Linked DNA regions of Yarrowia lipolytica. The protein of the gene in region 1 interacts with the protein of each later gene in a pairwise test. Links are inferred from orthologs where the notes say so. Each region holds a gene or a part of one and is shown in the gene's direction. Other genes may lie near its edges.

Region 1 (8,081 bases):
TGCGAAGAAGACTCTAGAGGTGGAGCCAGCGTAGCAGTCGACTCGTATTTGTACTTGAAACCAGTGGATGTGAAGGAAGCCAAAATAGAACTATCCCCAAGGCACAGTCTACAGAATCACCTCAACACCTCCAAATGATTCTAAACAGTAGGGGTAGATAAAGGGAAGGTCACTGCAGTACATATATTCCGATACTCCTACTCGTACAGTATGTACATACTACAAGTAGAGGCATGTGAGAAGCCAACAGAAGTAACAAAAGAACCCCAACGATTTATTCTTCACTGCCTCTTATGTCTCATTCAAGTCTTACAGAGATAGTTCCTCTTTCCATCTACCTAGACATAGAAGCTGACTTCCTTTCCTCGTACTCGTACTCGTACTTTACTTTAGGCTGTCTTATCCATCTGCTGTATGTACTACAAATAGTAATTAGTATCCTTAGTGTCTGAATACAGTCAACAACACTACAGTAATCATACTGTAGTATAAATACGGCTCGTTGGTTCCGCTTACCGGTACTGTATCGTACCGTACTTGTACTACAGTGCTGATAGCCGCGCAAATTTTCGTTAATATCACCATGAACGCGATTTTGTCGTTCAATGTGAAACAGCGTGTCCGTTTTGAGACAGCTTGGGGTCTAGAACAGGACCTACGGATGAACCAAGAGTGTCATGCGCGCTGATTGTCGTTTGTTGCTTTCTTGATCCACACGTGCCAAGTCAATCCCTGTGCTTACATATATTCCGCTTGTCCACGATCCCGGCCCTGGGCCATGTGATCACGTCCAGCAGGGTCTACAGAGCGTATACAATTGTGCGGATAATCCCCCGGTTTGTCCTGGTTTTGGCGACATTTCCGCAGCCTTTTACCCAGATATTATCCCACTCGGATTCTTAAATTATCGCCTGCCGCCCCCATATTTGCAGCAGAAAAGACCCTTACTTGCACATCCCCACCCTTCGGTTTCCCGTCTCAATTTTAGCAGCCTTTCAGGTCTGAGGTGTGAAGCTTGAGGTTGAGGTACAGTCGAAACAAACACATCTCTCTCTCTCCAGGGTTTCTTTTTGTGGGTAAGAAAAGCAGCAGCAGCAAGGCCGAATCGGGATCTTCGTGCGCCGCGACCAAGGCCCTACAAGTAGCGGTCTTTGTGTCGATTAATTCACCGCCCTTTATAGTCCTACAATGGCCCTCCTTGTTCTTGGCCAACCAGGCATGCTCTCAACTTTGGCAACTTTCACACTCCCATCTTGCCCAACATGCACACACACACACATACTCGATACGAGATACGGATGGACTTGTTGGTCACCCACTCACAAAAAAAACAAGACCAAGACACCCTTCGTTTGTTGTTTGTTGGTGAGTGTGTGCCACGTGTAGGTTCCAAGCTACTAGGCGAGGTTCATAAATGAGATATATATATATTGCAATAGAAAGATCTGATATCTATCTGAGGCGTTTATGTGGATGATAAATGTGCTTGTACTGTGTGTACAATACGGTACAAGACACCCACCCTCATGCCCCTTTTTACAGTACTGTACAGCACTTGTACAGGCTTTTTTTTCCCCGTCATTTTTTTTACGCACTCCTTTTTATAGACTCTTCTATACATCATCTTTTCTCCTGTCATCACATGTTAGCTGCACCGTTTGTGCCTTGTAGGCGGTGCAGGTTTGTGGGAGTTATGGGGCCCGTTTCGCGAGGCAGAGTGAGGATTAATAAACAGTATATTTTCTCGCCCAAATCCACTCCCTTTTTTATTTCTTTTACAATCCTTTTATTCGATTTCATGTGAATTCCCCCCCATTACTCCTGGCGCTTCTCAACCCACTCGCTACAGTCGTAGGCTCAGATTAAGGTTCACGGTACTCGTTGCCTGCAAAACAAATTAACTACTCCCATTCCGTGCATGTCGACATAGTCACCGGCATACGACTTGTCCGCACAAATGGACCCACTCGATATCGGCAACAGCCAGCCTCGCGAGGGTTGGAACCGGTGAGTACAACGGACCCGACGGTGTCTCAGGCGGATTTGCGCGCTATCCACACAATTGAGCCCGTGCATCATAGTGCCACAGAGAGATGAACGAACCAGAGAGCCGCAGACCAGGCCAGACACGTGTCGATTGAACGGTCGTAGCAACTGCAAGGTGTTAAACGAGACGAACCGGATCAGCTCGACACAGCTCCAGTCCGTGTCACTAGCTTGTTAACCGACCTGTGGCTCTGTTTAGGGCCACATCTGTGGCAATTGCTGGGAAGGCAGAAAAGCCATTGAACGACGACAAAAGCTGTGCCTTTGTTTGATTGACTGGTCTCACAGGGAGTGGTACTGATTCTGTGGGAGGTATTTCGACCAGCCGGCTGTTTCTCATTGTTCTGACGCCGCTTCTGCTGTATTTGGCTCATCACAGCTACAGGCCCCAGTGGCGATGAGGGCGGAGTGGTGTTGATGCCAATCTGGCTGCTGGTGTCTGTAGTCGCTGACAGTTACTGGTAAATTCTTTTTGCTACTCATCTGCTGTTTTCTGTTCATTCGTTGCCTACCCTGAAGTACTGTCTCGGGGGCAATCTCTCAGCCATCCTTCGATGACACTAGAACTTCTGACATTGGTACAGCACTTGTTTACTCCTGAAATTTGGCGAGTAGTTCCCTACTAACCCAGCCTCAACGCATTCTCCAACGACGGAGTTTCGCCCACATCCAACTCCTACGATCATGATGAACTCCCCCCATCCCCCACCTCCCGAACAGCATTCACAGGCATCGATCCGGACTACGAGTTTGCACCGAAATGGGAACCCGGCCACGGCAACAACAACTCGTCAATCGATGACCCTCTCTACTCCACCCTCGATCCTCACGCTCGAGCAAATGCATCTCTGACCCGCTCAGCTCCAGGACCTCCTCCACCAGGGCAACGGCCTCCCCCAGAGCGACCCACTGTCATCACACCAGTAGGAACGCACACACCCTCAGCTGGTGGGTCGCGTGCTGTCACTCCGATCAGCACCAACGTCGACAGACGCCCCTCCTATGCCTCTCAGGGTACCACCGGCTCCACTGGTTCCAAAAAGAGTATCCCGCAAAAGGTCATGGATCTGTTTGTGTCTGACGACACCAGCGCTGATTCCGATGGTCAGTCGTCGTCGTCCAAGAAGCATCACAAGGTGAAGCTGCCGAGGCCGTCCAAATCAATGTTCTTCTTCAAAAAGCATGATGATGACGACAGCCGGTCGGAGCACAGCCGTGAACGCACAGAGCGAACGTCTCACCCAGGTGATGGACACCAGCTTCGAGCTGCTCGGTCGTTCAACAAACCTGATCACGGAATCTTCCACAAGGCGGCCACGTCGAACCATTTCGACGACTCCAATAGCATCCACAGAGCCACGTCTCACTCCACTCTGCCTAGTGGAGATGAAGACGACACTCTCATTGCCTTGGCACACAAGGCCAAGAAGAGCTCCAAGAACATTATTGGCAAGGTTTTCCGTGAGTATCCGAAACCAATGGCGCAAAATTATCCACAAGCACTAACTCAGATCACAAGGACAAGAAGAAGAAAAGCCATACCTTCGATGGACCTATCAACCCGTTGGAGTCCCACGCACAACCGTTCAGAAATGCATCTGTGGCGTCGGTCCCGGAACCCCATGCCCCAAAACAACAACCCACAATGCGTTCAGCAAGCACAGTGTCCCATCTGGACCCGCACAGAAACTCGTCGACCTCGTCGCGTGACCACATGGCCTCGTCGTCTCGTGACCATACGGCTTCCTCGTCGCGAGAGCAGGTGCTCAATATGATCAGCAAGCGACCCTCTCTTGCCAATGCAAACTTCTACAATCTCGATACTGACCTGGACTCCATGGCTGGCATTGTCGAGGACGGAGGCGCTTCGAGCTCTGCCAACTCGTCGGCTCTCCCCCGACACGCCTCAACAGGCTCAGCGGCCGCCGACTCCATTCCCGGTATGCCTGTTCTGCCCGGAGGCAGCATCTCTGGGCCCATGGGTGGCCCCATGGTGGGCGACCGCTCATCCGTCAGTACTAACAACAACACCAACAACGCCAACAACGCCAACAACAGCAACCACAACTCTGTGTCTGGCGTCGCATCTCCAACTCCAGTGGTCAACACTGCTAATGCATCCGGCACTACGGCTGCTCCAGTCATTGGCGTAGGAACCGATTTGTCATTCATTGGAAATGATGACACTGCGCCCCAGACGAATGCAGGCCAATGGTCTGCGCCAGAATCTTGGGCAGTCGCCGATACTGGTCCAGGCGGAGGTTCGAAACTGGAGCCTGAAGAGATAGTAGAGACTTACGCTGACCCCACCCGTGAGCAGTACGGACTGGAAACCAACGTGAGCACACACATCCCAGGAAAGCCGCCAATCAACTACTTTGTCCGTATTTTCAGACAGGATGACTCTTTTGGAACCATTGTGTGTCCCCTGGAAACCACTGTTTCTGAGTTGATTCAGATTCTCGGTAAGAAGTTCTTCCTGCCGTCTGTCAAGGGGTACCAGCTGTGTGTTCGCATTGGCGGTTTGACCCGTGTGCTCGATCTGCTGGAGAAGCCGCTGCTATACCAGAAAATTCTACTCGAGTTCATGGGATACACCGAGAAGGATCGACTGGTTGAAGTTGGAAGAGAAGATTTGAGTTATCTGTGCCGATTCCTTTTCCTGCCCTCTTCCATCCAGACCTTCACTCCTGAGGAAGAGGCCATCATGTCCCGTGATTATGTGCATGCTGATCTCCAGAACCTAGAGTTGCAGACTATTCCAATCATCTTCTACCAGTTCTCTAACGAGATTGAGTATCTGGATGTCTCCAACAATCCCAGTATCAGCATTCCGCTTGATTTTATTCAATCCTGCATTAACCTGAAGAATCTGCGGTTCTCTGGAAACCGATCGAGGTTCTTTCCGGTCAACATCTCGCATGCAGTCTTCCTGGAGTATCTTGATATGAGTCGTAACATGATCAAGGACGTGGCTCAGATTCGGTTTGAGCGAATGTCTGCATTGACGACACTGGATCTCAGCTGCAATCAGCTGACTCGAATCAACAACAACGTGGCCTTGTTGAAGCAGTTGCGACGGCTGTCTCTGTCTAACAACAATGTGACGGACTTCCCCATGGCCGTTTGCAACCTGTCCAACCTGATTGAGCTGGATCTCTCGTTCAACCGACTGTCCAGTGTTCCTGCCAGCATTTCCAAGCTGGTCAACTTGGAGCGACTGGTGCTGAACAACAACTACATCAGCAAGCTGCCCAACGACATCAAGAATCTGGTGCAACTGAAGGAACTGGATGTTCGATACAACCGGCTCAACAACGTTGATGCTCTATCATCTCTGCCTCTTCTGGAAGTGCTCTATGCTTCCAAGAACCAGATTACATCTTACGAGCACAACTTCGAGTCGCTGCAGTGTCTCTACTTTGACAGAAACCCCTTCACCGAGGTCAATGTGTCCAATGTCCTTCATACTTTGACCGTGTTGCATCTCTCCAAGGCCAAGCTGTCTACACTGCCGGAAAACTTCTTCGATCGACTTCCTAACCTCGAGAAGCTGGTGCTGGACAAAAACCATTTCGTATCTCTGCCCTCTTCTCTTGGTTCTCTGCGAAAGCTGATCTACCTGTCCGCTGTCGGTAACAATCTGAGTGTGCTTCCTTCTTCTATCGGCCAGCTGACCACTCTGCAGTTCCTCGATCTGCACAGTAACAACTTGCGAAAGCTGCCCGACGAGATTTGGAACCTCAACGTCCTGTCGACTCTCAACGTGTCATCCAATCTGCTCGACTCGTTCCCCAAGCACAAATTCCACGTGTCCAGTGTGTCCTCAGGCGATGCTTTCCACCGAAACTTGGAGAGCGAGTTCGACAGCAACTACGAGATGCGAATCCGACGTCCTTCGGCCTTCAGCATCACCTCGACGTTGAGCCCCGGGGAGACCAGCAGACGAGGTAGTCTGGCGTACAACAGCCCCAAGATGAGTACTTCTCCCATGACCTTTGCACGTGATGCTCCTGTGTCGTCTCGTACTACACTCGCCAACTCTCTGTTGATTCTGTCTCTGGCTGACAACCGGCTCAATGACGAGTGCTTTGAGGAGCTATCACTGTTGACTTCGTTGCAGGTGCTCAACTTGAGTTACAACGAGCTGATGGATATTCCCTATGGAGCCCTCAGACGTCTCAACCGGCTCACAGAGCTGTATCTGTCTGGAAACAACCTGACATCTCTTCCCGCTGACGATTTCGAGAACATCAAGACTCTTCGAACTCTCCATGTCAACGGCAACAAGCTGCACTCTCTGCCAGCCGAGCTGGGTAAGATTCTGCATCTGACTGTGCTTGATGTCTCGTCCAACCAGCTCAAGTACAATATTTCCAACTGGCCTTATGACTGGAACTGGAACTGGAATTTGGATCTCAAGTACCTCTCTTTCAGCGGCAACAAGCGACTGGAAATCAAGTCTGCTGCCAACAACCTAATGCGGCATGGCGATGGGACGGAACAGAAGAATCTTTCTGATTTCACCGTTCTCTCTCAGCTCCGAGTCCTCGGTCTGATGGATGTCACCCTGACCACCCCCTCGGTTCCTGATCAGACGGAGAACTGTCGAGTTCGTACGTACGGATCCGAGCTCAACAACATGCCCTATGGCATGGCTGACTCTCTAGGCCAACACGAGAACCTGTCCATTATCGACATGGTTGTGGAGCGTTTCCGGGGCAATGAGAATGAGGTTGTTGTTGGTATGTTTGATGGACGTAACGAGATCAACCCTCGGGCCGGCAACAAGGTTGCCAAGTTGCTACAAGAGATGTTTGGTGCCCTGCTCCAGGATGAGCTCAAGAAGATGCGTGACGACGACACCATTGAAGATGCTCTCAAGCGGTCTTTCCTGGCTGCCAACAGAGACATTGGTGCCGCTGCTCTGACCACGGTGGAGTCGCACACTGCTCATCGAAGTAGTACCACCACGCACCTCAACAAGCAGGATGGCCTCACCGGCTCCTGTGCCACAGTTTGCTACATTTCCGACAACAAATTGTACGTGGCCAACGTTGGTGACTCCATGTGCATTCTGTCTAAGGGCACTGGAGAGCATCGTCTGCTTACCACCCGACACGACCCCACCGAGCCCGAGGAGCTTGGCCGAGTTCGAGCCGGAGGAGGATTCATTTCCGCTCACGGTAAGCTGGACGGTGTCTGCGATGTGTCTCGAGCCTTTGGATTCTACAATCTCATCCCCCACATCCAGGCTCGGCCCGATATCGTGTCAATGGAGCTCAACGATTCCGATGAGCTGCTGATTATCGGATCCAAGCAGCTGTGGGAGGTGATGAGCTACGAGACGGCCGTCGACATTGCTCGAACAGAGTCTCAGGACCCCATGCTTGCTGCGGCTAAGCTGCGAGACTTTGCCATCTCGTACGGCGCATCAGACAAGCTCATGGTGATGGTGCTGGGTATTGGAGTGAAGCGACGAACAGCCAACCAATCCAACCTAATCTCCGGTCTGCCTCCTGTTGGTGAAGACGAGCTGTTCCAGCCATACCGAAAACGACGGGACAAGTCTCTTCTTCCTGAGGACTCGAATCTCGCTCGTCTAGGCTCTGAAGTCGATCCGCCTGAAGGAGAGATGGCCATGGTTTTCACGGATATCAAGAACTCCACTCTGCTATGGGAGACGTATCCCATTGCCATGAGATCAGCCATTAAAATTCATAACGCGATCATGCGACGTCAGCTGCGAATTCTGCGGGGTTACGAGGTCAAGACGGAAGGAGATGCATTCATGGTGTCATTCACGACGCCCACATCTGCTCTCCTGTGGTGTTTCTCTGTCCAGCAGCAGCTTCTGGCCGCTGACTGGCCTGCGGAGATTCTGGAATCAGAGGAGGGCTACGAGGTCCGAGATGACGAAGGAAATGTTGTTTTCCGAGGTCTGTCTGTTCGAATGGGTATTCATTGGGGTTCTCCTGTATGTGAGCCTGATCCCATTACCCGTCGAATGGACTACTTTGGTCCCATGGTCAACC
Region 2 (4,024 bases), on another chromosome or scaffold:
GACAGACAGGTAGAGACGCCAGTTTGCACAGTAGCTGTCTCCCGCAAATATTGAAGTTGATTTTTCGTACTTTGTTGTACATATAAGACTGGAGAGACCCCTACTTGTAGGGTCTTTTGACGTCTGCTCGGCAAAAACAGATACGAATGTGATTTTTGGTTCCAAAAGGTACTTATACATACAAGGGACCAATAGGTAACTTGTTCAGCCTCGATTCCACTTTGCATGGAATGTACGTTTTTCTGGCCTGTGTTCTACACCTCTCCCAGTAGCTACTGTACCAATCTATTGTCCATCTCTCTCCCTCTCTCTCTCTCTCTCTCTCGCTCTAACTGCTGCTACCATCCATGTCTGTTCTGTAGGGTCCAAGTGCATGCACAAACAGATGCCGCCGTATTCGTACTCGTACCATAAGTAGAAGAAAGAAAGACTGCGCCAATCAGCGTACCACTTGTTATGCAGAAGGACACAGGCCAGGCAAGAGTTGGACTGTCTACGCTGTCCTGTGTAACTGCCTTCACTCAAGATACACTACATGCAGCAAGGTGTAAGAGTGCCATTACTCTCTCACTTTCATCATTGATTGGAGAAACGGGTGAAACTTCGAGTTACTGATTCACAGCTACAAGCACCTGCAAAATGACATCAAAAGACCTTCACGATTGAGCCACAACTCCAGCCACTACCTGTAGTACATACTGCACATACAATGAGCCGCAGGTATGTATAGGTGCAATTGTAATCTCTTGGCAACAACCGTCCATCCGGCAGTAAAAGACAACGAACCATTCATTCTGCCCGGACTCACCAATGTCCCTTGTACAGTTGAAGTTTTTCCGCCCAAGACCGGAGATTTTAGACAGCAGAAAACCCCCCATAACGAAAAAAAACACATCGAGTAGTCACGTGGTTTAAGCACCACCACTTTACTTCTCATTGTCATGCCCCTATTCACCATATTGCCCTTGTCCATATTGACCAATAACCGAGGCACATGGGGGATGCAGGTGGAATTTTTCAAATCACGTGATTAATGGAGTGTGCATGGTTTCTCGTGACTTGGAACCTTGTTACGGATGACTTGAAAATGCAATGACACGGCACGGTTGTCCCCCTCTACAAGAGAGTCATTAATCATAAAGTACTGTACTGTACTGTATTCGCAATTACTTGTTCACATCTATGTGTTTAAGAGGTGGCAGGTATGATGTGGGCGTGAGAATTAGTCTGTCTGACATTATCACGCTATGGGGCGTACAACTGGCGCGCTGGTGGTGTCAAAGTAATAATAAATGACTATATTAGAAATAGACTCGCGTATAAAAATAATAACGGCGCCGACACGGACCCCGGAAATGACCCTCAGGAGATTAGGTACCAACGAAATCAGATATTCTGGGTTCAAAAGTCACGCCTTGCTTGGATGTATGTAGTTACCAAGCTCAGAATCTCGAGGTATCGGAGGTTGTGTGGAGTTTTCTTACAACCTTAAATTCTCCATTCCTATCTCCGAAACATGGGACGAGGCTCGCGATAGGGCTGTGCAAAACACTGTCGTTCGTGTTCGAGGTCCGCGAAACGCAAAGGCGGATGCGTGTCTTTGCCGCTTTCTTGGGTTGTTGGTATTTCTTGGCTTATTTGGGGTCAGATTTATGTCCTCGTCTCCTTCTGCAAAACTCACTTGAAAATCATTTGTAAGCTGATATGTTGTTTTGGGCCCCTATTCCAAACTTAGTGGGGCCTCATTTTTGGCTTTTTGTGTTTTTGAGGTGCACTTTTTTTGGGAGTGGTCCAATTAAGCTCCGTTGGGACCAAAACAGATAGGGATTGCTTTTGTGTACATAATACTATTCCCTACCTGACATCACCACTCGAGGATAAGGAGGTCATTGGGGTGGTTGGATCAATCTTCAGATACGTGATACGGACACTACGAGCTTCATATACACCCACACGCATTAATTCGCCCGACAAATAACGCCAGCCGCACACTAATACGCAAGACACTCCACAAGACGCCATGGGATGCACGAGTTCGAAGGAGGTCAAGCCTGGACCTAGCGGACCCTCCGCAACGGCAGGGAAGGCGAAACCAGCTAATACGGCGTCAAATTCGACAGCAAACACGAATTCCGCCGCCACCGCAAATGCAAACGCAACCAGCACGGCCAACAACACAACTACAACCCCGAACAGCGCACCAAAGGCCAGAGCTGGTGCAAACGACGCCACTAACGACACCGCCAACACGCCAGATGAAGAGAAGGAAGTGAAGACGCTTCTGCTGGGTTCCGGAGAGTCCGGAAAGTCCACCATCATCAAGCAGATGAAAATCATCCACCAGAATGGCTACACAGACTCCGAGCTCTATCTGTTCAAGAGCACCATCTATAAGAACCTGTTGGATTGCGGTCGGGCTCTGCTGGCCGCCGTTGATAAGTTTGGACTGCAGGAGGAGCTTGCTGCCGAGGTTGGCCACAGCAACAAGACAGAGGCCATGGAGGCCAACGATTTTGACTTTGTGGAAGACAAGGTCAATGAGGCAGAGCACCCAGTCTACACAGGTGGTAGAGGAGGCGTGGAGCAGTTCCAGATCATCTTGGACACCCCCAACCCCAATGATAACAACACCAGCCTGAGCCCAGAGCTGGTGGATGCTTTGGATGCACTGTGGAAGACTGCGGTCGTGCAGGAGAAGCTTCTCAAGGGTCTGCGAAACCAGTTCTACCTGATGGACTCGGGCCCCTACTTTTTCCACAACCTACAGCGTCTCGGAGGAGCCCAGTACATACCCACTCAGGACGATATTCTGCGAGCCCGAATAAAAACTACTGGTATCTATGAGACCAAATTCCGACTGGGCTCGCATTTGATTCACATGTACGATGTGGGAGGACAACGGTCAGAACGAAAAAAATGGATTCACTGCTTTGAGAATGTCACCTTGATCATCTTCTGTGTGGCTCTGTCCGAGTACGACCAGGTTCTGTTGGAGGAAAAGAAGGAGAACAGAATGAACGAATCGTTGGTTCTGTTCGACTCGATCATCAACTCACGTTGGTTTGTACGAACTTCTGTCGTTCTCTTCCTGAACAAGATTGATGTCTTCACCGAAAAACTTCCTCTTTCGCCCCTAGAGAACCAGTTCCCTGATTACATGGGCGGAAACGACATCAACAAGGGTGCCAAGTACATCTTGTGGCGTTTTACCCAAATGAACCGGGCTGGACTCAACATATACCCTCATTTGACTCAGGCCACTGACACCTCCAACATTCGACTGGTGTTTGCTGCCATCAAAGAGACCATCCTGCAGAACGCTCTCCAGGACGCCGGTATCCTGACTTGATGTTGACATTGACTGTACAGTACCATTATATAACTTCCATTATTACTAATTTGTATATATATATATATTGATGATGTAACGTAGAACCGTATGTATAACAGCCAGGTGAACTGGAGGCAGAGAGCACAAATTTGCTACGCGGATCTTGGAAAAAACAACCTTTCAACAGTAGAACAATGGTTTATTACATCACAAATGTATTGGTTCTCGAAGTAAGTATCAGCGCTATGGATTTTGATGAATTCGTTCACTTTTCCCATTCTTCCCACATTTCTTCTTCATAGGTCGTCACCTTCGGGCCAGCAACACCAGGTGTACAAAAACTGGTCCCACCAGTTCTTTGTTTCCCCTTTCGTTATCGGGGCATCTGTTTGGGGTCTGGCAGTATCAAAATCGGGTGTGGGTGATCTTTCTCGGGTCTGTCCAGCAATTGGAGCTCTAGAATAGGGATGAACAGCTCCTGGAACGTATCCATGATGGGATCTTCCACGATTTAGTCGTCGTGGGATATGCTTACTCTCCATTTCTGCCTGTTGAGGTGTCAACGGAGTGAGTGTTGGTGTCTCAAAAACCGGCATCCGAGGGGACGAGGTATCGAATACAGGGTTGAAGGGACCAATAGCGCTTGGAATGAACTTGTTTCGGATCTCACCTCCATCAATTTGTTCAGGAGAT

Evidence for each region.
Region 2: the proteins of YALI1_B24424g (region 1) and YALI1_A09372g interact in a two-hybrid assay, tested with the Schizosaccharomyces pombe proteins (2 studies listed by BioGRID). The link is inferred for Yarrowia lipolytica from reciprocal best matches to the Schizosaccharomyces pombe genes cyr1 and gpa2.

What each region holds. Positions count from the first base shown.
Region 1 is NC_090771.1:2,437,855-2,445,935, reverse strand, and holds the start of YALI1_B24424g (uncharacterized protein), read left to right. Parts: upstream 1-1,957; coding exon 1,958-2,007; intron 2,008-2,677; coding exon 2,678-3,507; intron 3,508-3,557; coding exon 3,558-8,081. Other genes in the region: YALI1_B24446g (uncharacterized protein), read right to left, coding at 985-1,194, 1,239-1,280. UniProt on the Schizosaccharomyces pombe protein: Acts in glucose-induced cAMP signaling by catalyzing the synthesis of the second messenger, cAMP to activate PKA signaling and repress sexual development and gluconeogenesis.
Region 2 is NC_090770.1:935,194-939,217, forward strand, and holds YALI1_A09372g (uncharacterized protein), read left to right. Parts: upstream 1-2,020; coding exon 2,021-3,349; downstream 3,350-4,024. Other genes in the region: YALI1_A09397g (uncharacterized protein), read right to left, coding at 3,628-4,024. UniProt on the Schizosaccharomyces pombe protein: Alpha subunit of the heterotrimeric guanine nucleotide-binding protein (G protein) involved in glucose-induced cAMP signaling.